3 linked regions of the Stegostoma tigrinum genome follow. The protein of the gene in region 3 interacts with the protein of the main gene of each other region in a pairwise test. Links are inferred from orthologs where the notes say so. Each region holds a gene or a part of one and is shown on either strand. Other genes may lie near its edges.

Region 1 (7,100 bases), on a different chromosome or scaffold from region 3:
CCCCATACTTGGATAACAAGCACAGGAAGTGCGCACTCTTCACAAGAAAGACAAAACCCTCTGTGTTAAACATCTCTCAGATTAGGACTACTTCCAACAATTGTCAGTTCTGTTTAATACCAGTATCCACCAACCAGCATGTTCCATGCTCAATTTGCCAATACTGTAAATATCATGTATAATGTAATTCAAGCAAAAGCAATGAAATTCTGGCAAGAAATTGATTTAAAAAACATACAGATTACAGTCTAACCACACATTCCCACAGGGCAGTCAAAGGCTTTCCTATTTCTTTTGAGAATTTTTTCACATGACGTAGATCTTTTCTTGTGCTACTCTTCTAGTGTGGCGACAGCACTCTTCAATTACATAAAAGCGACTGGTTCATAGAGTGACTATTTACATATTCAATTATTTGGGGGGTGGGGGGGGGGGAAGGAGGAGGAGGAGGAGGAGGAGGGTACCAGAAGCCATCACTCCTTGCAGTTGCTACTTATCAGTGCTAGACTGCCTTCTACAAGACCAACCCAGTTTTCTACACATTAAGAAGCTGAAAGCAAATCAACTCCAAACCACGTTTGATCTTTTTATATTAGTCAGTGCAGTGTTGCCAACATTATAAAAAAATTACCAGGTGACTTTCAAAAGTTAAAGAGCTGGTGCTGATTAACCTCCACTAAAGACAAATTTTGAACTCCAACAGATTTGAAACCAACATTCCGCTCAGACTCTTAAGACAAGCTCAATCTCGTTACAAGTTTAGCATAAAGCAGAAATTGTTAGTTATTTGACCTCAACACTAAAGCAAGAACATCAAGAGTCCTGCACGCTATTGCAAGGTAAAATTGATTATGACAAAACAATGTAAGTGAATGTTTGATTGTGCTGTTAAATACAGCAATATCAGTACTTCAGCCTAAAGGGGAATACTTCAATGTTACTTGAACACAAAGACAAAATTTTTATGTTGTCAGATAATGTCCAAGCACAAGTCCAAATGAAAAGTTTTACATCATAACACTTACTGAAATCCTACAATACTGCACAACACAACCAAATATAAAAGAGTTAGAACATGTTTTCTCTCCCCTTTGAATATTCAAAAATTCCACTGTTCACCTCAAGAATGAAGCTATGTCCTCCAAAGGACTACAGAGACGCTCTATCAAAAAACATTACAGAATAAGGAAGGAGACGCCCCATTGCCTCAGTCATTCCCCAATCAAACAACTATCACAGGTAAGAGAAAGTGTTCGTGACAAGCCACACCTTTAAAGGATCTAATGCTGCAATCTGTCATGCTAAGTCTTTATATTATAAACACGATGGGGAATATCAGTCAGAAAGTCAGCTTATAGAACTCTTGCACCAAATGCAGTGGTTATCAGAAATCAAAAGGAGGGTTTGGAAAAAACACAAGCCAAGCAGATGCTTGCAAGTCACAAATTCATTTCTGAAGGATTCAGTATTTTACTAACCTTGTAGGTTCCATCTACTTCAGGTTTTCATACCTTATATTTGTCTATGTCCTATCGCCAAGAAATATAAGTTGAAACCTCCCATCACATTCACTGGGCAGTAAACAAAATTTGATTATACAGACTTCAAAATTTACTGAGGACACAACTCCCTTTACATAAATAATGAGAAAGGTAGTTAAGATCTATACATCTCTGGATGCATTTCTGCAGTAATGGTAGTGGTTTGCATTCAAGTGGTCCATCAGATTAACTAAATCCGATCAAGAAATTAAAACCAGTGCTTTAGATGCTTCAAAAGAATGTGTAAAAGCATAAAACATTAAAAAAACAAATACTGACAAAAAACAATGTGAAAAGCAACAGAACTGAACCTTGAGAATACAGATGGATGCAAAAGATTTATAGTAATTAGTTCCAATAAACAGGATCTCCCAAAAATTAATCTGAAGGAGGGTCTAGGCCCAAAACATCAGCTTTTGTGCTCCTGAGACGCTGCTTAGCCTGCTGGGTTTGTACAGCTTCACATTTTGTTATCTCCCAAACATTAACTCAAGTTCCACTGTGTCACTGAGATGCACTTCCACAATTTGCTGTCAATCATCAACTTCATTCAGCCAGTCACACCTAAAATAGATTTGCATGCTGTGGCAATTTACACAAGGTTGCTTTGAAACCCATGCAGGCTGGATTCTCAGTGACTAGTGTGCAAGAATCATTTACGCTACTCAGTGCTGGAAGTGTGGATCTACAATGGAGAAGAAAACTGGATTGTCAAGTCTGCTGCCCAGTTGAGAGTTGGATTTCTCATAAATAGCAAGGTGGGGGGGAGGGGGGTTGACTTTTCAGCTGAACGCAACCAAACATATAAGTGTGAAATCAGCTGGAATCAAACACCCACCACTGGGCTCAATGTTACCCCATCCTGACAGTATACAGCTTTGGTTTTTTTTAAAAAACATTTCACGCAGGCACAAGGGAAAAAGTGACACCGGTTTACCATTTGATTACTCAGTCTCTATATGGAAATTGAACAGGTTTTCGCAGGGATCTGTAACGCTGTTGGTGCTGCCGCCTGACACAGCCGCAGCAGGGATGGGCCCTCAGCTCCAGCCGAGGTATACTCACCCCGGGGGATGAGGGGCCTAGTTGGCAGGCCCAGGGCGGGGGAAAAGAGGAAGCCCTAACTGCACGCACCCACTACCGAGTGGCGAAGGGTACTTGGAGGCTCCGCATTGCTTCCCGCCCTGAACCGCAAGGGCCGGCGGCTAGGGACGGGCCCAGGAGCGGCGTCGGCCTCTCCTGGAAACGGCCGCTCCCCATTGCCTCAGTCATCTCCGCCCCCCATAAAATAAACACAAACTCCCTTCACTCAAAACCTCCCAGTGGGCCCCACACCCTCACTACCCCCTCAGTTACCCCCCCCCCCATCCCTCCTCCCTCAATCCTCTACCCGCCATCCCCACCCCACACGACGGTCTTCTCCCTCACCGCTGCCGGTTCGGTTCCGTCCCGCTCCCTTCCGCCGCTGTCGCTCCGCCTGAAACCGCTCGAGCTCCTACCCACCTCAGCGCGCGCAGACGCACACACAACACAACAACGTCACCGGCAGCCTCGCTCTGAGCGCCTTAAAAGGGAAACACCTTTTAAAGCGGCAACGACCCGCTCTTCTCCCCCCCGCCCCCAGGCTACCCCTACTGTGGACCCACCGCCGGCGCACGCCGCGCAAGTAATGCTGAGAAGAGCAGAAGGTACCAGGGATCCCAAAGAAGCTGCGATGTGACCGCCCCCGCCAGATGTTGAGGCACCCCGAAGTGCCACGGCACCACCCAAAATACTGAAATCGCTCCGACAGATGGCCCCCAAAACACTGAGACACCTCTCTCTTATAGACCACCAGACACTCACAAACAGAGGACCGTTCAGCCCCTCGTGTCTGCACTCGTCAAAAAACATCCGACTACACTGAGATAACAAGGTGTAGAGCTGGATGAACACAGCAGGCCAAGCAGCATCATAGGAGCAGAAGGCTGGGCCTAGACCTTTCATCAGAAATTCTGGCCTGATGTGTTCATCCAGCTCTTACACCATGTTATCTCGGATTCTCCAGCATCTGCAGTTCCTATTGTCTCCGACTGTACTAATACCATTTTCCTGGAGGAGATGAGTCATAGAGTCATGAGTTGTGCAGCACTGAAACAGATCCTTTGGTCCAATTTGTCTATGCTGACCAGTTTTTCTAAATTAATCTAGGCCCATTTGCCAGCATTTGGTCTCTATCCCTCTAAACCCTTCTAATTCATATACCTGCCAGATGTCCTTTAAATGCTGTAACTGTAAAAACCTCCACAACTTCTGCTGGCAGCTCATTTCATACAAAGGACAAGGGAGCCAAAATCCACCCTCTGAGTGAAAAAGGTTGTCCTTTAGGTCCAGTTTAGATCCTTCCCCTCTCACCTTAAACTGTTTACCACCTTCATAACTTTCATTTTAAAACTTCTTGATCATTAATCCAAATTGTTAATATACAAACAGCAAATGCCCCAGCATCAAATCCTGTGGAAGCCCACTGGAAGTCACAGTCAGAGAAACATCCCTCTACCATTGCCCTCTGCTTCCTAATTTGTGGCTGATTTTCAGCCCAATGTGTCACTTTGGCTTGGATCCCATGGGGTCTTACTTTCTTGATATGTTTCCCATGAGGGACTTTTTCAAAAGTCTTGTAAAAGTCCAAGTAGACCATATCAAATACATTACCCTCATCGACCCTCATGGTTATCACCTCAAAAAATTCAATTAAACTCGTCAAACATAACGTTCCCTTAACGGATCCATGTTGACTATCCCTGATTAATCCATGTCTGTCTAAGTGCGGATTTGTTCTGTCCCTCACAATTCTTTCTAATAACTTCCCCACCACTGAGGTGAGACTGACTGTCCTGTAGTTTCCTAATCTGTCCTTTCCTCCCTTTTCTGTAACGGGACAATGTTCGTAGTGCTCCAGTCCTCTGGCACCTCACCTATGGCCAGCAAGGATTTGAAAATTACTCTCAGGGCTCCCGATATCTGAGATAATGGGAGCTGCAGATGCTGGAGAATCCGAGATAACAAAGTGTGGAGCTGGATGAACACAGCAGGCCAAGCAGCATCTCAGGAGCACAAAAGCTGATGTTTTGGGCCTAGACCCTTCATCAGTGAGCTGATATCTGCTCCCTTTGAACCCTTAACAGCCTGGGATATGTTTCAAACAGGTTTGTGAATGTATCTATTCGTAAAGCTACTAAAGCCACCAGTACTTCCTTTCTCTAAATGTTAATTTCTTCTAATATTTCATAATCGTCCACTTTGATGTCTATACCTGCATCATTCTTTTCCACTGTAAAGACTGATGCAAAACATTTACTGAGAACTGGGCCCATATCTCCCAGATCCACACACACATTTCCTCTATGATTCCTAATGGACCATATCTTTACCTATTTACTTTCCATAATACAATAAAAAACAGGAACAGGAATAGGCCATTCAGCCCCTCAGGCCTCCTCCACAATTTAAACAGCTCTTGATTAGTCCAACATTCCACAGGTGCACTTCCTTGTGTTTTCCCAATTACCCAAGATTCTCCTATTTTTGCTCTTTATATATATATTTTTTTTAATCATTTGGGTTTTCCTTTATTCTATTTTCTCATTAACTCTGCTTGCTGTCCTCATTTAAGATGAAGATTACCCCGTGCACTTTTTGTATCGTCTAGGTACTCTGCTGTACTGAGCCTTGGGTATCTGACATAAACTTCTCCTTTCTTCTCAATCCTAAACTTTATGACTCCTCACATCCACAGCTCTGCTGTTTTACTCCTACACTTTCTCTTTACAGAAACATATTTTCCCCGTACTCCTGCTCCCCCCTTGAATATCTTCCACTGCTTTGATAGATTTATCTGCAAGTAGGTGTTCTGAGACTACTTGGGCCAAGTTATGTCTTATCTTAGTAAACTTAGCCTTAACCAGGTTATAGGTTTCCTTCTTAGCCCATCCTTATCCTTTTCCATTACCATCCTACATGTAACTAAGTTATGGTCACTATTTCTGAAAGATCCCCCTAACTGATACACCTTCCACCTGCGCCCACGATATCAAGGCCTTTCCTTATTGGGTTCCATTGCACCAGTTTAAAAAAAGTGCCCCTTGATACAATTTAAGAATTTTGTTCCCTCTCTGCCTTGAACACTAAAACTATCCCACTTAATAATTGTGAGGCTGGATGAACACAGCAGGCCCAGCAGCATCTCAGGAGCACAAAAGCTTTTGTGCTCCTGAGATGCTGCTGGGCCTGCTGTGTTCATCCAGCCTCACATTTTATTATCTTGGATTCTCCAGCATCTGCAGTTCCCATTACCACTTAATAATTGGTTCATTAAAATCCTTTATGAAACTAATAAATCCCCTCCCACTATTGCCTTTCCCCACTCCACCCTCCCCTACCCCACCCACGCCTTGGCTCTGACAGGCCTCAACAGAGGAACCGTCATTCTCACTAATTTGCAGGACTGAACAGCATTTTGCAAATAGAATGTACTTGGATGATTCCCTCACAACCTACCTGGAGCTTCTGACTGGAGTTCCCCATTCCCATTCTCTACGTATCTTTAATCTGTGGGTTGGCGATGTTTGTGCTGTCCACCAACCTCTCAGCCCTTCATCAATACACCGTTGTGCCCCAGCAGCTGCACAAGCTCCAAACTTCAGAGTTTGAGTTGCTCCTGCTGGAGGGACCTCTGCACAAGGTCATCCTGATCTCCAAGAGGAGGTAGGATTTTGCACAGATTGCGAGATGTGTAAATCATGGGCCTGAGCTTCCCAGACTCACCTTAACCAAGTAGAATATGGTTACTTGCTTTTATTTAGTCTTAGTCCTAGCAGAATCTTCATCTTGCTTATGCCTTGAGCCCCATCCATTGCCATTCTGTCTGAGACACTGATACATCCCTGCAATAAAACACTGAGACACCCCAGAACACTGATAATCCCCATATCACTGGTAAACCTCAAACAATGATATATCTTCCCACTGAATGAACCTTCCCACTGGTATGCCCCAAACCATAAAACACTGGGCCAACTCAACGCTAATACATTTCCAATGCTGATATACCGTCAGCAATGATACATCTCTCAATTCTCTTACACTACTGCAACTGAAAGACCCTGTAACGCTGAAATCATCCTAATTCTGAAACATGCAAATTAGTCAATAAAAGGCAATAATACACACACACACACACACACACACACACACACACACACACACACACACACACACACACACACACACAGTCATTCACCCAGTGATGCTGATGTACATCCGATGGATGCCCACATTATGTTACACACTGAAGACAACAGAACCCTTTATAAAATATCTTGCACTGCCCTCAACCTGCTGCATGTTGCTGGATCGCTCAGGCTTGGCCACCAAAAAGCACACACTGAATTGGATTGACTGCATCTACCGGCTGATATCAGGGATGAGAGCTGACTTTAAGTCAACACTTTGCACAATCACCAGCCTCCAAAACAGCACAGCATGTTCACACTTACATGATTGATCTGGCTCCTGATG
Region 2 (7,618 bases), on a different chromosome or scaffold from region 3:
TGTGCTTTGAGAAACATATGGACTTATTAGCGATAGTGAGCATGGTTTTGTGCAGGGGTGGTCATGCCTCACTGATAGATTGAGTTTTTTGGGGAGGTGATGCGGATGATTGATGGGGGCGGAAATCAGTCAATGTTGTCTACAGTAAAGCGTTTGTCAAGGTCCCTCATGGCAGACTAATACACAAGGTGTCATGTGACTTCTGATCTTGTCCACCAAAGTCCAACACCAGCACCAAGTTACATGGTATCAGGGTGAGTTGGCAAGATGGATACAGAACTGGCTTAGTTCTAGGAGATAGAGGGAAACAATGGAAGGATGCTTTTCAGAATGGATGTCTGTGACTAGTTGTGTTCTACAGGGATCAGTGCTATTCACAATCTACATAAATGATTTGGAGGAAAACGTAGGTGGTCTAACTGGTGACTTTGCAGATGATAGAAAGACTGGTGGAGTTGTGGACAGTGAGGAGGATTGTCAGGATATAGATCAGTCATAAGCAAAATGGCAAATGGAGTTTAATCCGGACAAATATGAGGTGATGCATTTTGGAAGGTGAAGCACAGGTAGAAATTATACGGCAAATGGCAGAACCCTTAGAAGTATTGATATGCAGAGGGATCTGGGTGTGCAGGTCCAGGAATCACTGAAGGTAGCAGCATAGGTAGTAAAAAAGGCTTATGGCATGCTTGCCTTCATTGGAAGGAGCATTGAGTAAAAGAATAGATATGTTATGCTGTAGTTCTATAGAACTTTAGTTGGTCCACACTTGGAGTATTGCATACAGTTCCAGTCACCACACTACCAGAACGATGTAAATAATTTGAGGGTACAGAAAAGGTTTACTAGGATATTGCCAGCCATGTAGAAAGGTTAAATAGACTGGATTTGTTTTCACTGCAATGCAGGAGGTTGAGCGGCAATCTAATAGAAGTTTATAAGATTGTAAATGGTATGGATAGAGTGGAAAGTATGAGGCATTTTCCTGGGATGGATGGGTCAGTTACTAGGGGATACATGTTCTAGGTGTAAAGAGGGAAGTTTAAGAGATGTGTGAGGCACATTTTTACAAAAAAGGTGGAGTGCCTGGAACATGCTGCCAGAGGAAATGGTGGAAGCAGGCACAATAGCAGCAAGAAGTACCTGGATGAATACATGAATAGGAAGGGAATAAAGGGATATAAATCCTTTAAGACAGTTTCAGTGTGAAAGGGCAAAATATGGTGATACAGGATTGGAGGGCTGAAGGGCTTGTTCCTGGCCCGTATTGTTCTTTGTTCTTTGAATCGTGGTTGACAATTAAACATCAACAGTAGGAGAGGCTGGACAAATATCCTATCCTCGAGTACAAGGAAGTATAGTTCATCAGTGCAAAAGAAACAGTTGAAGGCATGGAATACTGCAAAATCTATGCACGCCTTCAACATTATTGGAATAGTATGGAAGACTTTTGTTCCAGTCCTAGACATTCCCCTAGCCAAGCTGTTCCCATATAGCCACATGGCAATGTAGAAAACTGTTCAGGTAAGCCCTGACCACAGAAGGCGAGACAAATTTAACCTGGCCAGTTACTGCTTAATCCTCCACTCATGGACCTCAGCAAAGTGATTGAAGGAGTCATCATCATATTCAAGGAGGTACTTGCAAAGGAATAACCTGATGTTCAGATCACGTTCCACCAGGGCCAGTCAAATCGTGACCTCATTACAGCCTTGAGCAAAAATGAACAAAAGAGCTGAACTCCAGAGGTGAGATAAAAGTGAATGCCCTTGACATCATTTGAGAAAGAATGGCATCAAAAAGCCATAACAAAACTGGAGTCATTGAGAATCCTGGGGAATCTCTTAGGTGATTCGAGTAATCGCTAGCATAAAGAAAGATACTTGTGATTAATGGAGACCAATCATGTCAGAGCTCCTAAGAGTCATGTTTGAGGCCCTAACCATCAGCCGATACTTCAGCAACCATCCCTCCATCATTAGATTAAAAATGGGGATGTTCATTGGTGAATTGACAATGCTCAGCACTTATTGCAACTCGTCAGATACTGAAGCAATCAATCTGCACTGAGCACAATCTTCACCTGAGAAAACAGAATAGACTGGTTTTCACAGGGAATAGCTCAGTAAAAGCCTTAAAAACACAGGTCAAGTTACATACAGCTGTTCTGAGGAAGGGTCACCGGACAAGAAATATTAACTCTGTTTTTTTCCTTCACAGATGCTGCCAGACCTGCTGAGCTTTTCCAGCAACTTTGTTTTTGTTCCTGATATACAGCATTTGCAGTTCTTTTGGTTTTTACATACAGCTCAAATTTTGTATTATAACTGTAGCCCAAAACAAATGTTAATAATTACAGGAATGGACATGAGTGTGCGATCTCCTTTTAAAAATGTAAATTCCTCTACATATGCATTTGGAGTCTGTTCATTTATGCTCAGAATTTTTGATGAAAATGCTGGAAGCTTGAAGAGAGGGATGGACAGTCGGAGAGATAGAGGGAAGTGCAGTTTGAAGAGATGGAATTTGAAGAAAGGGATGGATGAAGCATGGGATAGAGGGAAGTAGCGCTTGAAGAGATGTATGGACAGATAGAACGATGGAGAAAAGTACACTTTGAAGAGAAGAATAGACAGGGAAATAGACGGAGGGAAGTGAAGTTTGAAGAAATGAAAGGACAGAGAGATATGGAGGGATATGAAGTTGGAAGAGACTGATGGACAGATAGAAGAATGGAATGATAGATGTGAAGTTTGAAGAAAAGGATAGACAGTGAGAGGGATAGAGGGAAATGCTGTTTGTAGAGGGATGGGCAGAGAGATGGATGGACAAATATAGGCGCAGAGGGAAGTACGGTTTGATGAGAGCAATGGACAGCGACAGTGTTGGAGGGAAGTAAAGTTTTAAGTAAGGGATGGATAGAGACAGATGGAGGAAAGTACAGTTTGAAGAGAGAGAGAGAGAGAGAGACAGATGGAGAGAAGTGTAGTTGGAAGAGAGGGACGGACCGAGCGAGGGATGGAACAAGCACGCAGTATGGGGAGAGAGGGGGATGGACAGGAGTGAAGTTTTAAGGGAGATAAGGACAGACAGAGTGAGATGGGAAAGTGGAGTTTGAAGAGAAGAATGGAAGTAGAGAGAGAGATAGAGGAGAGTGCAGTCAGAGGAAAAGAGTGGACAGAAGGAAAGGATTAGGGAGGGATGTGCAATTTTGAAGAAAGCATTGGAACGAGAGATAGATGCAGAGAAGTGATGGTAGGAGCTGCTGATGGTAGAGTATGAGTTAACAAGGTGTAGAGCTGGATGAAGACAGCAGGCCAGGCAGCATCAGAGGAGCAGGAGAAGGAAATTTTAAAATAAAAAGAGATGGACAGAGAGAAGTATGGAGGGCAGTGCAGCTTTAGGAGAGGAACGGACAGACAGAGGTACAGAGGTGTGCAGTCTGCAGAAAAAGATGGATAGAAGGACGGATGGAGGGAAGTGCAGTTTGAAGAGTGGGATGGACAGAGAGTGAAGAATGGAGGAAAGTAGTCTGTAGTGAAGGGTGGATAGAGGGAGGAATGGATGGGAATGCAGTTTGAACAGAGGGAGGGATAGAGAGAAGTGCAGTTTGAACAGAGGGATGGAGAAAGAGAGCGATGGAGGGAAGTGCAGTTTGAACAGAAGGATGGATAGAGAGAGGGCTGGAGGAAAGCGCAGTTTGAACAGAGGGAGGGATAGATAGAGAGAAGCGCAGTTTGAACGGATGGGGGGATGGGGGGGATGGGGGGATGGGGGGATGGGGGGATGGGGGGAGTGCAGTTTGAACAGGGGGGGGATGGGGGGGAGTGCAGTTTGAACGGGGGGGGGATGGAGGGGAGTGCAGTTTGAACGGGGGGGATGGGGGGGGAGTGCAGTTTGAACGGGGGGGATGGGGGGGGAGTGCAGTTTGAACGGGGGGGGATGGGGGGGAGTGCAGTTTGAACGGGGGGGGATGGGGGGGAGTGCAGTTTGAACGGGGGGGGATGGGGGGGAGTGCAGTTTGAACGGGGGGGGGATGGAGGGGAGTGCAGTTTGAACGGGGGGGGGATGGAGGGGAGTGCAGTTTGAACGGGGGGGGGATGGAGGGGAGTGCAGTTTGAACGGGGGGGGATGGAGGGGAGTGCAGTTTGAACGGGGGGGGGATGGAGGGGAGTGCAGTTTGAACGGGGGGGATGGAGGGGAGTGCAGTTTGAACGGGGGGGATGGAGGGGAGTGCAGTTTGAACAGGGGGGGGATGGAGGGGAGTGCAGTTTGAACGGGGGGGGATGGAGGGGAGTGCAGTTTGAACAGAGGCGGGGGGGATGGAGGGGAGTGCAGTTTGAACGGGGGGGTGGATGGAGGGGAGTGCAGTTTGAACAGGGGGGGTGGATGGAGGGGAGTGCAGTTTGAACAGGGGGGGTGGAGGGGAGTGCAGTTTGAACGGGGGGGGGATGGAGGGGAGTGCAGTTTGAACGGGGGGGGGGATGGAGGGGAGTGCAGTTTGAACAGAGGGGAGGATAGAAGTGCAGTTTGAACAGAGGGAGGGATGGAAATGCAGTTCGAGCAGTGATGGACAGAGACGGTGGGAGAGCGCCTGCGCCTGACGTCAGGGGAGCCTGTGTACGGCTGCCGACGGAATCGGGAGCGGAGGCGGCTTCAGAGTGACCGCCGGCCGCAGTATCGCAGCGAGAGATAGCGACAGCGATCCCTCTCTCCGCCAGGTGAGTGAGAACACGGCGATGCGGTAGCGGCCGATGGCGGAAAAGCCCGGTTTAAGAGTCCGGGGCCTGTGATGAGGTGGGACGGGGAATGATTGAGGTGACCGAGGGTGGGTGGGTAGGTTGGTTGTGAGAGACTGAGGTCGGGGATGGGCCCTGGCCGGGCGGAGCGGGGCAGGGCGTCGGCCCGGAGTTTGCGGACGAGGATAGACGGTCCAGGAGACGAGCTGCGGCCGCTGCCTATAAGATGGCGGAGCGCTTTCTGCTCGAGGCGGCGGCGACGGCTCCTCTCCCGGTGCTTGTGCCGCCGGACATCCCTTTTGCTGGGCCCCGATCTGCGGAGGATGGAGAGAGAGGACTGAGATCGACCGGCGTCCATCAACCCTGTGACCGTCCCTCCTGGGGCCACGACCACCGTCTACCCCCGGGGCCGGGGCCACGACCACTGCCCCCCTCTCGGGGCCAAGGCCGAGACCCACCCCCACCCCCGGGACTGTATTGAAGTTCGATAGCGGAAATGAAAACTTGTGGTTCATTAATTCATTGAGATGTTCCGGACTCTTCGGAGAAACCGGCTTTTTATTCAAAATTAATGTTTCCCTTCTACTATTCGGTTCCATTCCCCCTCCGGATATTGTTTATTAGATACTGTTGTTGACTCTAATTGATAGTGTATATTGTTGAAGTTAAAGTAAAACAGGAGCCCCACCTTAGTGGGAAAGTATCCCCTGAGGCAGGCAGGGCGGATGCTGCTGGTTCACAGGCGTTCTGCACTGTTTCATGCAAGTATTCACCGAAATGTTCAGTCGCGTCCCAACTCGAATGCTGAAATATTAATTATTTAGCACTATTTTAGCTCCTCGGTCCTTTTGAAATAGGCTGCACTCGTAATCGGATACTTCTGCAACAAACTTGAACCCCCCCCAAAAAAGGAAGTTCTTTGCCGAAAGCTTGTTATTTTTAAGCGTGCCTATATTTGCGTGCGTGTGTTGGGGTGGAACTGAGTGTTTAGTGTTGAGGTTTTTTTTTGTTGTACACGAATACTCAAATGTATTGGAAAGGTTTGGAAAACTTTGCATAGGTGTCCTTTTATTTTGTTAGAGCTTACCGAGTTAGTTAATCAAAATGTAGCGCTCTTCTTCTGACCGGAGAACGAAAGGAAGTTTTGCCAAACTTACTATGTATGTTGAAAATGGCAGGAAGCGATCTCTCAAATATTTAAGTCAGGAGATGAAAGCATGACAAGTTGTATACTTCCTGTGTGAATAATATGACAGCCAAGAGGGATCAACAGTTTTAAGTTTAGACTTTATTTACGCTGACCACCTTGGAAAGCGCTGGAACACGTACTTAGATAACAAGGTATAGAACTGGATGGACACAGCAGGCCAAGCAGCATCAGAAGAGCAGGAAAGCTGACGTTTCGGGTCTGGACCTTCTTCCAGCATCAGCAGTACCTACAATCTCTGAAACACTGCTTAGTTTCTTTGAGGACTGTAACATCTCAACATTGGGGTAATAGCAAACAAAAATTCTTGAATTTGTGGGGAGTTTGTGAATTTGGTAGCTGACGTAACTATCAGTAATGGTCTAATTAAAATTGAAAATGCTGGGATTTAGAAACATTGGAGCAGATTGTACGGTTTTCACATTAGAAAAGCAGCGGGTTATGAACACGCTCGGATTTGAAAACAAGCTGAGAATTTTAAAATTGAGGCATTGCTTGACCAGGAGCTAATGTAAGTAACTGAGGGGAAAAAAAATTCAGAATAGGCAATACATGTTAATTTTTCCCATAACAAGCATCACATCCTGTAAGAGTTTTAAGAAGATAAATATAAATTTATGTAAATTAGGACAGTAATGAATAGTCTCGATTATGGAAGATAGGCTAAGCTGGGTGATGTCTTGGAGGTGGAAATAGGCTTTTGGGATGGTGGCAATCTATAGTTGGGACTTATCTCTGTCAAATGTGACATAAAAATGGAGAACAATCTGCTCAGCCTCAGTAACTAGGGTGAGCGACAGAATTTGGCTGCGTATTTTTTTATTCATTCATGGGAAGTGGCATTGCTGGCTGAACAGTATTTATTGCCCATCTTTAGTTGCCCATAAGAATGTAGTGGTGAGCCTGATAGGTCTACAATACCATTAGGGAAGGAATTCCAGGATTTTGACCCACTTTTGGTGTCTGTCTCCTCACACTTAATAGAACAAAATTCATAGTAATGTGAGATAAGGTGTAGAGCTGGATGAACGCAGCAGGCCAGGCAGCATCAGAGAAGCAGGAAGGCTGATGTTTCAGGTCAGGACCCGTGCCAATTATTGTACATTTGCAAAAGTTGGCTCTAAGATTATTCTTAAATGGAACAATAAGAAGCAAGGTGTGAAGGATTACTCCATTGGAAAAATCGGAAGTTGAGAAATATGCAAAGACTCAACAAAGGGATATAGATTAAGCAAGTGTGCAAAAAATTTAGTTGATGAAGTATAATGTGGAAAATGTGAGCTTGTCCATTTTGGCAGGAAGGATGGGGGGTGAAATAAAGACTGTTCAAACGGAAGAATGCTCTGGTACAGAAAAAATTGTATGGCTCAATGGATGAATCACCAAAAAAAATTGCAGATACAGAAATTAGGAAGCAAAATTGAATGTTGGCCTTTGATTGCAAGATGGATTGAGTTTAAAAAATAGGGAAATCTTGCTACAGTTGCACTGGGCGTTGGTGAGAGTACATCTAGACTTTCAACAGTTTCATTCTCCTTTATAGAGTAGCATTGGAAGTAGGTCAGAGAAGTTTTAATTCTTAGAATGAAGGGATTGTTTTATGAGGCAAGATTGAGCAAGTTTGGTCTTACTCATTGGAATTTCAAGGTATGAGAAATGATCTTTTTGAAAC
Region 3 (8,080 bases):
GGACTAGAAATCCAGAGGCTTAAGCTAATGCTGTGCTGACATGAGTTCACATCCCATAATGACAAGTGACTGTATTAAATTCAGTTTAAATGTGAAATGTAGTGTTAGTCTCAGTTGTTGTGACTGTAACAACTGATATCAATTACTGTTATAAACCCATCTGGTTCATTAATGTCCTTCAGGGAAGGAAATCTGCCATCCTTACCTGGTCTGGCCTAATGTGACTGCAGACCCACAGTGATGTGGGTGACTTTCATGTGACCTCTGACTCAGTTTGAGGGCAATTAGGGGTGGGCAATTTCTGGTTACTAACTATATCTGTAGATATGGGGATATCGTAGGAATATGATGTTGAGGTAGATGATCAGCCACGATCTGGGTCTGGTGTGGGAAGCTCTTTGAAAGATCAGTGTGGACAAGATGGGCCGAATGGCCTGCTTCCGCACTGTAGGGATTCTGTGGATCTAGAATGAGGAACAGGCTTGAGGGGCTGAATAGCCTAATTCGTTCTCCTTTGCTCCTAGAAGACCATGAAATCTTCAAAGGCCATTAACTAAATAAAACTGGCTAAGGCTGCAGGATGCGCAGCCCTGATGTTAACCTCCAACAGACTCAACATATGAGATTTGGAGACAACACGAGATTATGTTTTGAAGCATTTTTCTCCTCACTAAGTACAAAGGCAGAAAACCGCAGTGAATGTTTCCATATATGTCATGCCATATATGTTTTTTAAAAAAAGTGCAGACGCCCCACACATTCCCAGACACTCAAGGACAGTTTGAGATCTCGGGTGTTAGTTGTGAATCAAGGTTAAAAGTCTAACCCTCTGGCTCAGATGCTGCCAGTTCCACACTCAGCTCAACAGTGCAGGACTCCTGGCTGAGCGAGTTAGATCTAATTGTCTCCTCACTACCCATCATCTGAGATGTCAGAAGAGGCCCTGGGTGACAGTAAATGCTGCTGCAATACCATAAAACATTTCCCTATAAACGGATTTATGATTTCGATACACTCAGAGGTCAAAAGCTCCTTTTACTGCAGAATGCGTATAAATCCCTGCACTTCAGAAATAATTATTCTATGAGGTGAGGCAAAAATAACACCACACGGTGTTTGATGTATATGAATCATTCCCTTTTGAGAATATGATATGTTCAATCTGGAGCAAAGTGGTAACGTGTGTGTCTGTGTGGGGGTTCAAATATGGGTCATGTCCTCACAACTACTCCCACCCCCTTATAATAAACGCAAAGTACTGCGGACACTGGAAACTTGAAACAGCCAGAACAGTCTGAAGAAAACACAAAGTGTTAACTCTGTTTCTCTCTCTCTCCAGACCCACTGAGTTCCTCCAGTGTGTTTGCTAGACCCCTCCCAAGCCCCATTCTCGTGCTTGTTCAAAACAAAACATGAAAAATAAACAAAACAGACAGTGCTGGAAAAATTCAGCAGCACCCGTGGACAGAGAAACGGAGTGAGCATTCCGACTGTGGTCTGATTTCTCCAGCACCCACAGCAATTCATTTTAAAATCACACAACTGCGTTCAGGATTACAGAGGGCAAAGTTAAACATGGGACGGTACATACAGCAATAACAGAGTGCTATTACTATGCCTCATATCCCACAGGCAAAATATCATCTCATCAGCAAAACAGTGCAGCAATCAGTAACATCTCCATAGCAACTGCAGAGCTGGGTGAGAGAGAAAGCGAGATGTTTCCTTACCAGAAAGTAAGAAAGAACTGTAACAAACAAAAATAAACAGAGAATGCTGGAGAAACCCAGCAGGTCTGGCAGCATGTGAAGAGAGAAAGCAGGGTTAATGTTTTGACTCCAGTTCTTGAAAAAGGGTCATCGAGCTCAGAAAACATTAGGTCTGCTTTCGCTCTCTCTCTCTCTTTATACACTGCCCAGACTTGCTGAAATTTTCCAGCAATTGAATTCTGTTAAAAACCGAAAGAACTGCTGATGCAGCAAATCAGATACAAATACAGAGATTGCTGCTGGACCTGCGGAGCTTTTGCAGCGATCTCTGGAGAGAAATCAGAGTTAACGTTCCAAATCTACTGGACCCAAAACTTTAACTGATTTCTCTCCACAGGTGCTGCCAGACCTACTGAGCTTCTCCAGCAATTAAACCCTGCCTTCCTCACCCACAGACACTGCCAGACCTGCTGAGCTTCTCCAGCAATTAAACCCTGCCTTCCTCACCCACAGACACTGCCAGACCTGCTGAGCTTCTCCAGCAATTAAACCCTGCCTTCCTCACCCACAGACACTGCCAGACCTGCTGAGCTTCTCCAGCAATTAAACCCTGCCTTCCTCACCCACAGACACTGCCAGACCTGCTGAGCTTCTCCAGCAATTAAACCCTGCCTTCCTCACCCACAGACACTGCCAGACCTGCTGAGCTTCTCCAGCAATTAAACCCTGCCTTCCTCACCCACAGACACTGCCAGACCTGCTGAGTTTCTCCAACAATTTCTGATTTGTTTGTTTCGCACTCCAGCATCTTTGTGTGATAAAGTTTTTGTTTTTTTGGTCGTGGGGGGGGGGGTGCGGGTTGAGGGAGGGTAGAAAGTGTACCTCGGTGAGGGGCAGGTCGGGGTCCAGTTGGGTGAAGCTGTTCAGAACCACAGAGCTGGCATCTCCCGTCACTTCGAGCCTCACGCCGTCCCAGATCTGCTTCAGGCGCCGGGAGCCGTCAAACATCTTGTGCCCGCTGGCCGCGCACTCATTGTGCAGCTCCGGCCACATCAGGCGGACCATGGGCGAAGTCTGGTTTCTCTCGGAGCCCTCTCACTCACTCACTCAGAGTTTTCTGGTTTAAATCGCTGGTGAGAGAGACATTCTCCAGCCCCGGGGGCTGGAGAGGGGGGGGGGGGGGCGCTGACAGCTTGTACCACAGCGCTAGGCTGCCCCCAGCCTTTTATTACAAGGGAAGGCACGACTCCATCTCCTGGCCCCCTGTCCGAAATACACTGCAGCGCGGCTTCCAGCCCGAAATGAGATGTGGTAGGGAGTCACTGCGATAACACCCTGCCCAGGAGAGGCAGGACCATGATGTCAGTGCTGTGCAACCTCCCAACTCCGGACCGGAGTTTCACAGAGCGCCGGACTGGATTGAGTCCACAAACATAACCCCGTCCTCATCGAAACTAAGGCAGATGCTGCGAAGTTCATGCACTCGATGGAGCCCTGTGGGTTTCTTCGTCAAAGACGCACTGATCGTCACAGGCAAGAAAACAAGTCGGCCCGATGCAGCAGCAGATTGCTGCAGATGCTGGCAATTAGCTGACTAACAAGAATAAGCTGGGAATCACAGCAGGGTAGGCAGCATCAGAACTCTGATGCAGAATCATCTGAAGCGCTCTCTCCCTCCACAGAATGCTGCCTGATCCACTGTGATTTCCAGAAATTTGTTTTTGTTTTCAGTACAGAACTAGGCCATTCAGCCCATCTGCTCTACCATTCAATGAAATCATAGCTAATCTGATCATTAATACAGCACAGGAACAGTACCTTCAGCTTCCAAGCCTGCACTGATACATTTTGCCCTTCTGTAATAAAACTGCCTTCACTTACAGGATCCATATCCCTCTATTCCCTCAAACGCCACTCTCCTGCTGTAACCTTTGATTCCCTTGCTGATTAAAAATCTATCTGAACCTTGAATTATCTTAACACCCCAGCTTCGACAGCCTTCTATGGTAAAGAACTCCACTGATTCAGAGAAGAAATTCCTCCTCATTTCTGTGTTAAATGGGTGATCTTTTATTCTGACATTATGCCCTCTGGTCCTAGATTCTCTCATAAGGGTATATAATCTCTTCACGTCTACCCTGACAAGCCCTGTAAGAATTTTGTATGTTTCAATAAGGTTACCATTTATTCTTCTGAACTCCAATGAATACAGACCCAAGCGACTCAACCTCCCCTCTTAAGACATACCTGGTATAAGCCTAGTGAATCCTATCTGGATTGTCTCCAATGTCATGACATCTTTCCTGCAAGAGGGCTTAAAATTATTCACAGAATTTCAGATGTGTTCTCACTAGTGCCCTGTATACTTTCAGCAAAGCCTCCCTACCTCCAAACTCTGGTAACAAAGTGTGGAGCTGGATGAACAAAGCAGGCCAAGCAGCATCTCAGCAGCATTGGCCTTCTGTGTTCATCCAGCTCCACACTTTGTTATCTTGGATTCTCCAGCATCTGCAGTTCCCATTATCTCTACTTTCATACTCTATTCCCTTTGAAAGAATGGCTAATGTTCTGTTGTGACTGCAGCTACACTGTGGGGACTGCAAAAGTTTTAAGAAGGCAACTTCTTGAGGGCAATAAAATGTTGACCCTGCCAGCAACAACTGTGCTCCATAAACAAATAAAGGGTAAATTACACAGAGAAGTTACTCAGGTGCCTAGATATACACGGAGTTGAATATTGGTTTAGCAGGTAGCCCACTTACCTCTGAATTACGGGGTCCTGGGAATAAACCCCACTCCAGTATTTGAGTACAACAATCCACTGAGGGAGTGCTACACTATTGGCAGCGCTGTCTTCAGCCAGGACATGGATCTGAGTCCTCACCTACTTGCTCAGGGAGATGTAAAAGATCCCATGGCATTATCATGAAGAAGGGCAGGGCATTTAACTCCAGAGCAGTGAACAATATTTATCCCTCAATCAACATCACAAAAGCACTTTATATTTCCATGGATGTGGGTATCACTAACACATTTATTGCCCATCAATGTTAATCACACTGCTGTTGGTCTGGAGTCACTTATGGGTCTGGCCAGATAAAGATGGCAGATTTCCTTCCCTAAAGTGAACCAAGCAGGCTTTTATAATAACAGTCACATGATCAGATTTTACTGGATTTAAATTCATAATCGGATTTAAACCAGCACATTAAGACTTGGATCGACAAACAGGAGGCTGGAAGAGCACAGCAGGCCAGGAAGAATCTGGAGGGAAGGAGCTGTCAATGTTTCGGGTATTTCCCTTCTTCAGGACCGGCCTAAATGAGGTTAATACCTGAAACGTTGACTGCTCCTTTCCTTTAGATGCTACTGTGCTCTTCCAGCCTCCTGTTTGTCTGCTTTGGATTTCAGCATCTGCAGTTTTTTTTTGTCTCTGCATTAAGACTAGAATCCTAGATTATTAATCCATGAGGAGAAACCACTACACAATCACCTCCCTTTTGTGATTACATTATTAATTACATTGCTCTTTATGGGAATTTGCTGGGTCCAAAAAAGCTGCCATGTTTTCTATATTACAGCAGACACTACACTTAAAAAAAAATTGGCTGTAAAGTACTTTGGGACATCTGTTAGCTATGAAAAACTCCATGCTAATGCAAGAGTTCTGTTTTTACTTTAAATATGACAACATTTGCTGCTCCAACTACTCTGGAATCCAAACTGTACTAGCTTCCTTGACAGTTTCTAGAGCTGTGTACTTCAAGCAATTCTGTACTGGAAAATTGCTACAAATGCTGACTGGCATAGTCCAGAGGGTCGCTTTAGCGTCTTCAGTCCATCCTTGATACAAACCCAGTCCAGTGTCATCTGCCAAGCAGGTGAAAATGCTGCCAAATGTCTGGAGACAGCAGCAGAACCAATATGTTTTTAAAAAAACTCGACAGATACAAAACTCGACGCCTGATGAGGTGCTGAGGAACAGACAGCTACGAGGGTTGCTACAGGAAGGATATCATCAAACTGAAGGGGGTTCGGAAAAGGTTTACCAGAATGTTGCTGGGAATGGAAGGTCTGAGTTATAAAGATAGGCTGGATAAGCTGGGACATTTTTCCATTGGTACATAGGAGGTTGAGGGGTGACCTTACTGAGTTTTATAAAATCACGGCGGGCATAGATAAGGTGAATGACAAGGGTCTTTTCCCCAGGGTGGGGGAGATCATAACTAGGGGACATATTTTTATTGGCAAGAGGAGAAAAATTTATAAAGCATGTGAGGGGCAACATTTTTACACAGAGAGTAGCTCATGTGTGGGATGAACTCCGAGAGGAAGTGGTGGATGCAGGTACAGACACAACATTTAAAAGACATTTGGATAAATTTATAGGAAGGGTTTGGAGGGGTATGCACCAAGCATAGGCAGGTGGGACTTGTTTAGTCTGAGAAAATGGTTGGCGTGGACTGGTTGGATTAGAGGGTCTGTTGCTATGCTGTATGACTCTATGACTGAAGCTGAAAGGGAGCCTCTTAATTTCATTTCAGAATCTCTTCCTTTTCCTCACATAAACCTGATGTGTTAACAGAATGTGATGTTCATGGAGTTTCCATCCTCAATCCGTCTGCTATGAGGTTGCTTTATAAATGCACAATGTTATTTTGGGCTTTTTGCTGCCCCCTATGGTCAGCTCCAGAACAACATTCCCTTCAAGCCGAAGAACTAAATAAACAGGAGCTGAAGTGGGTCATTTGTCCTTTAGGACCAGTTCCATCAATTCAACAAAATCACGACTGATCTTTGACTTCAACTTCATTTTCATGCATGACCCTCATTCTATATATTCAAGAATTTGTCGAGCTGCTTCTTGAATATACTCAGCAACTGCGATTATAAAATGTCACTTTCTCAGCTGGGAGGTGGTACGAGGAAGCTAGTAAATAAAGAAATTGCATTTATATAATGTCTTTCATGACCTGATGATGTCGTAAAGCACCTGACAGCCAATGAGGTAATTCTGAAATGTAGGAAACATGGCAGCCAGTTTACGCACAGCAAGATCCCATGAACAGTGTGAGGCAAAAGGTCAGTTGGTCCTGTTTTTGTGGTATTAGTGGAGAGATAAATATTGCAATAATTCCTTGAGAGGGTAGAACAATAGAATCAGTTGGTGGCACGGAGATGCCACACTGAGGGAGTCTGCGGTGGGGGGGGGAGGCGCACTCTCTCAGCAGACTTAAAAACCAAAGCCTCCATCACCTGCTCACATGAGTGTGCAGGATCCTGTTTTGAAAGGAGATCTGGTAGGGGAAAATTGCCTCAAATTTGTCAAATATCCCTCAGTTCCTTGTGGGATCTTGCTGTGCACAACTTGGCTGCTGCTTTTTCGACAGCACAGCAGTGACAATGCTCTTGAGAAATAGCTATCATTCACTGTAGGGTTGGCTGGTTGTGGGGGGAGGGGTGTTGGGGGGGTTCGTGAGTATTTTTACCCCCCTTCTCTCTCTCTTCACCTCCACAAACCCACCCCGTGTTCATTGACTGGGTCAATGATCCAAAACAACCTATGTGTGTCTGACCAGCCGCCCTAAGGCAGAGACAGCACGTGGCTTCCCCCTTGAAAAAGGAACTGTTTGCAGGATCAAGGGGAAATTGGATCAGTTGAGTAGTCAGTCCAGGTGAGATGGGGTGAATGGCCTCCTTGTGAGCTATATGATTCTATATGATCCTATAGGCAAGCCTGGAAGGGCAACACACAATCCTACCTCTGCAGAAGGGTCACTGAACCTGAAACGTTAACTGTTTTTTCCTTCACAGATGCTGCCAGACCTGCTGAGCTTTTCAAGCAACTTCTGTTGTTGTTGTTTTATATATAAGGCTGCCTGTACCTGGCTGGGTTAACTGATATCCTGAGATAAACTCTACCCAGCAGGATGGAAAGAACTGATCCCTTGGGAAACCGTCATGTATCTCAGACATTGTAAGTACAAAGTAATAAACCTTTATGAAATATTCTGCTGAAGACTTCATGGATGCTTTGTTGCCCATATCGCATTGGTAACCCAGAATGAGAAGGATTGATGGCAGTGAATCCGAGCAAGGCATCTCAGAGGTTCAAGTCAACACAGCTCCAATGCATCACCCCAACAGAACTTGGAGTGCACAAGCCTGGTTTGGTTCTGCTGTCACCTGAAATTTGCCCTCAGCTGCACTACACAGGGATCCAGAGAGACCATCCAGCCTAGTCATTTTGCTTGGGGAAATTAAAGCCAATTTTCTCATCCTTTAGAATCACAGAATCCCTACTGTGTGGAAGCAGGCCATTTGGCCCGCACTGACCTTGGCCCGCACTGACCTTCTGAACAGCATTCGAA

Evidence for each region.
Region 1: the proteins of ral guanine nucleotide dissociation stimulator-like (region 3) and rap1aa interact in a two-hybrid assay, tested with the Homo sapiens proteins (3 studies listed by BioGRID and IntAct). The link is inferred for Stegostoma tigrinum from reciprocal best matches to the Homo sapiens genes RALGDS and RAP1A.
Region 2: the proteins of ral guanine nucleotide dissociation stimulator-like (region 3) and ras-related protein Rap-1b interact in binary tests that used the Homo sapiens proteins (3 or more experiments, as listed by UniProt). The link is inferred for Stegostoma tigrinum from reciprocal best matches to the Homo sapiens genes RALGDS and RAP1B.

The regions. Positions count from the first base shown.
Region 1 is NC_081374.1:5,400,417-5,407,516, reverse strand, and holds the start of rap1aa (RAP1A, member of RAS oncogene family a), read right to left. Parts: upstream 3,081-7,100; 5' UTR 2,970-3,080; intron 1-2,969. UniProt on the Homo sapiens protein: Counteracts the mitogenic function of Ras, at least partly because it can interact with Ras GAPs and RAF in a competitive manner. Together with ITGB1BP1, regulates KRIT1 localization to microtubules and membranes.
Region 2 is NC_081371.1:37,393,310-37,400,927, reverse strand, and holds the start of ras-related protein Rap-1b, read left to right. Parts: upstream 1-4,588; 5' UTR 4,589-4,721; intron 4,722-7,618. UniProt on the Homo sapiens protein: GTP-binding protein that possesses intrinsic GTPase activity. Contributes to the polarizing activity of KRIT1 and CDH5 in the establishment and maintenance of correct endothelial cell polarity and vascular lumen.
Region 3 is NC_081382.1:36,461,559-36,469,638, reverse strand, and holds the start of ral guanine nucleotide dissociation stimulator-like, read right to left. Parts: upstream 3,010-8,080; 5' UTR 2,775-3,009; coding exon 2,592-2,774; intron 1-2,591. UniProt on the Homo sapiens protein: Functions as a guanine nucleotide exchange factor (GEF) activating either RalA or RalB GTPases and plays an important role in intracellular transport. Interacts and acts as an effector molecule for R-Ras, H-Ras, K-Ras, and Rap.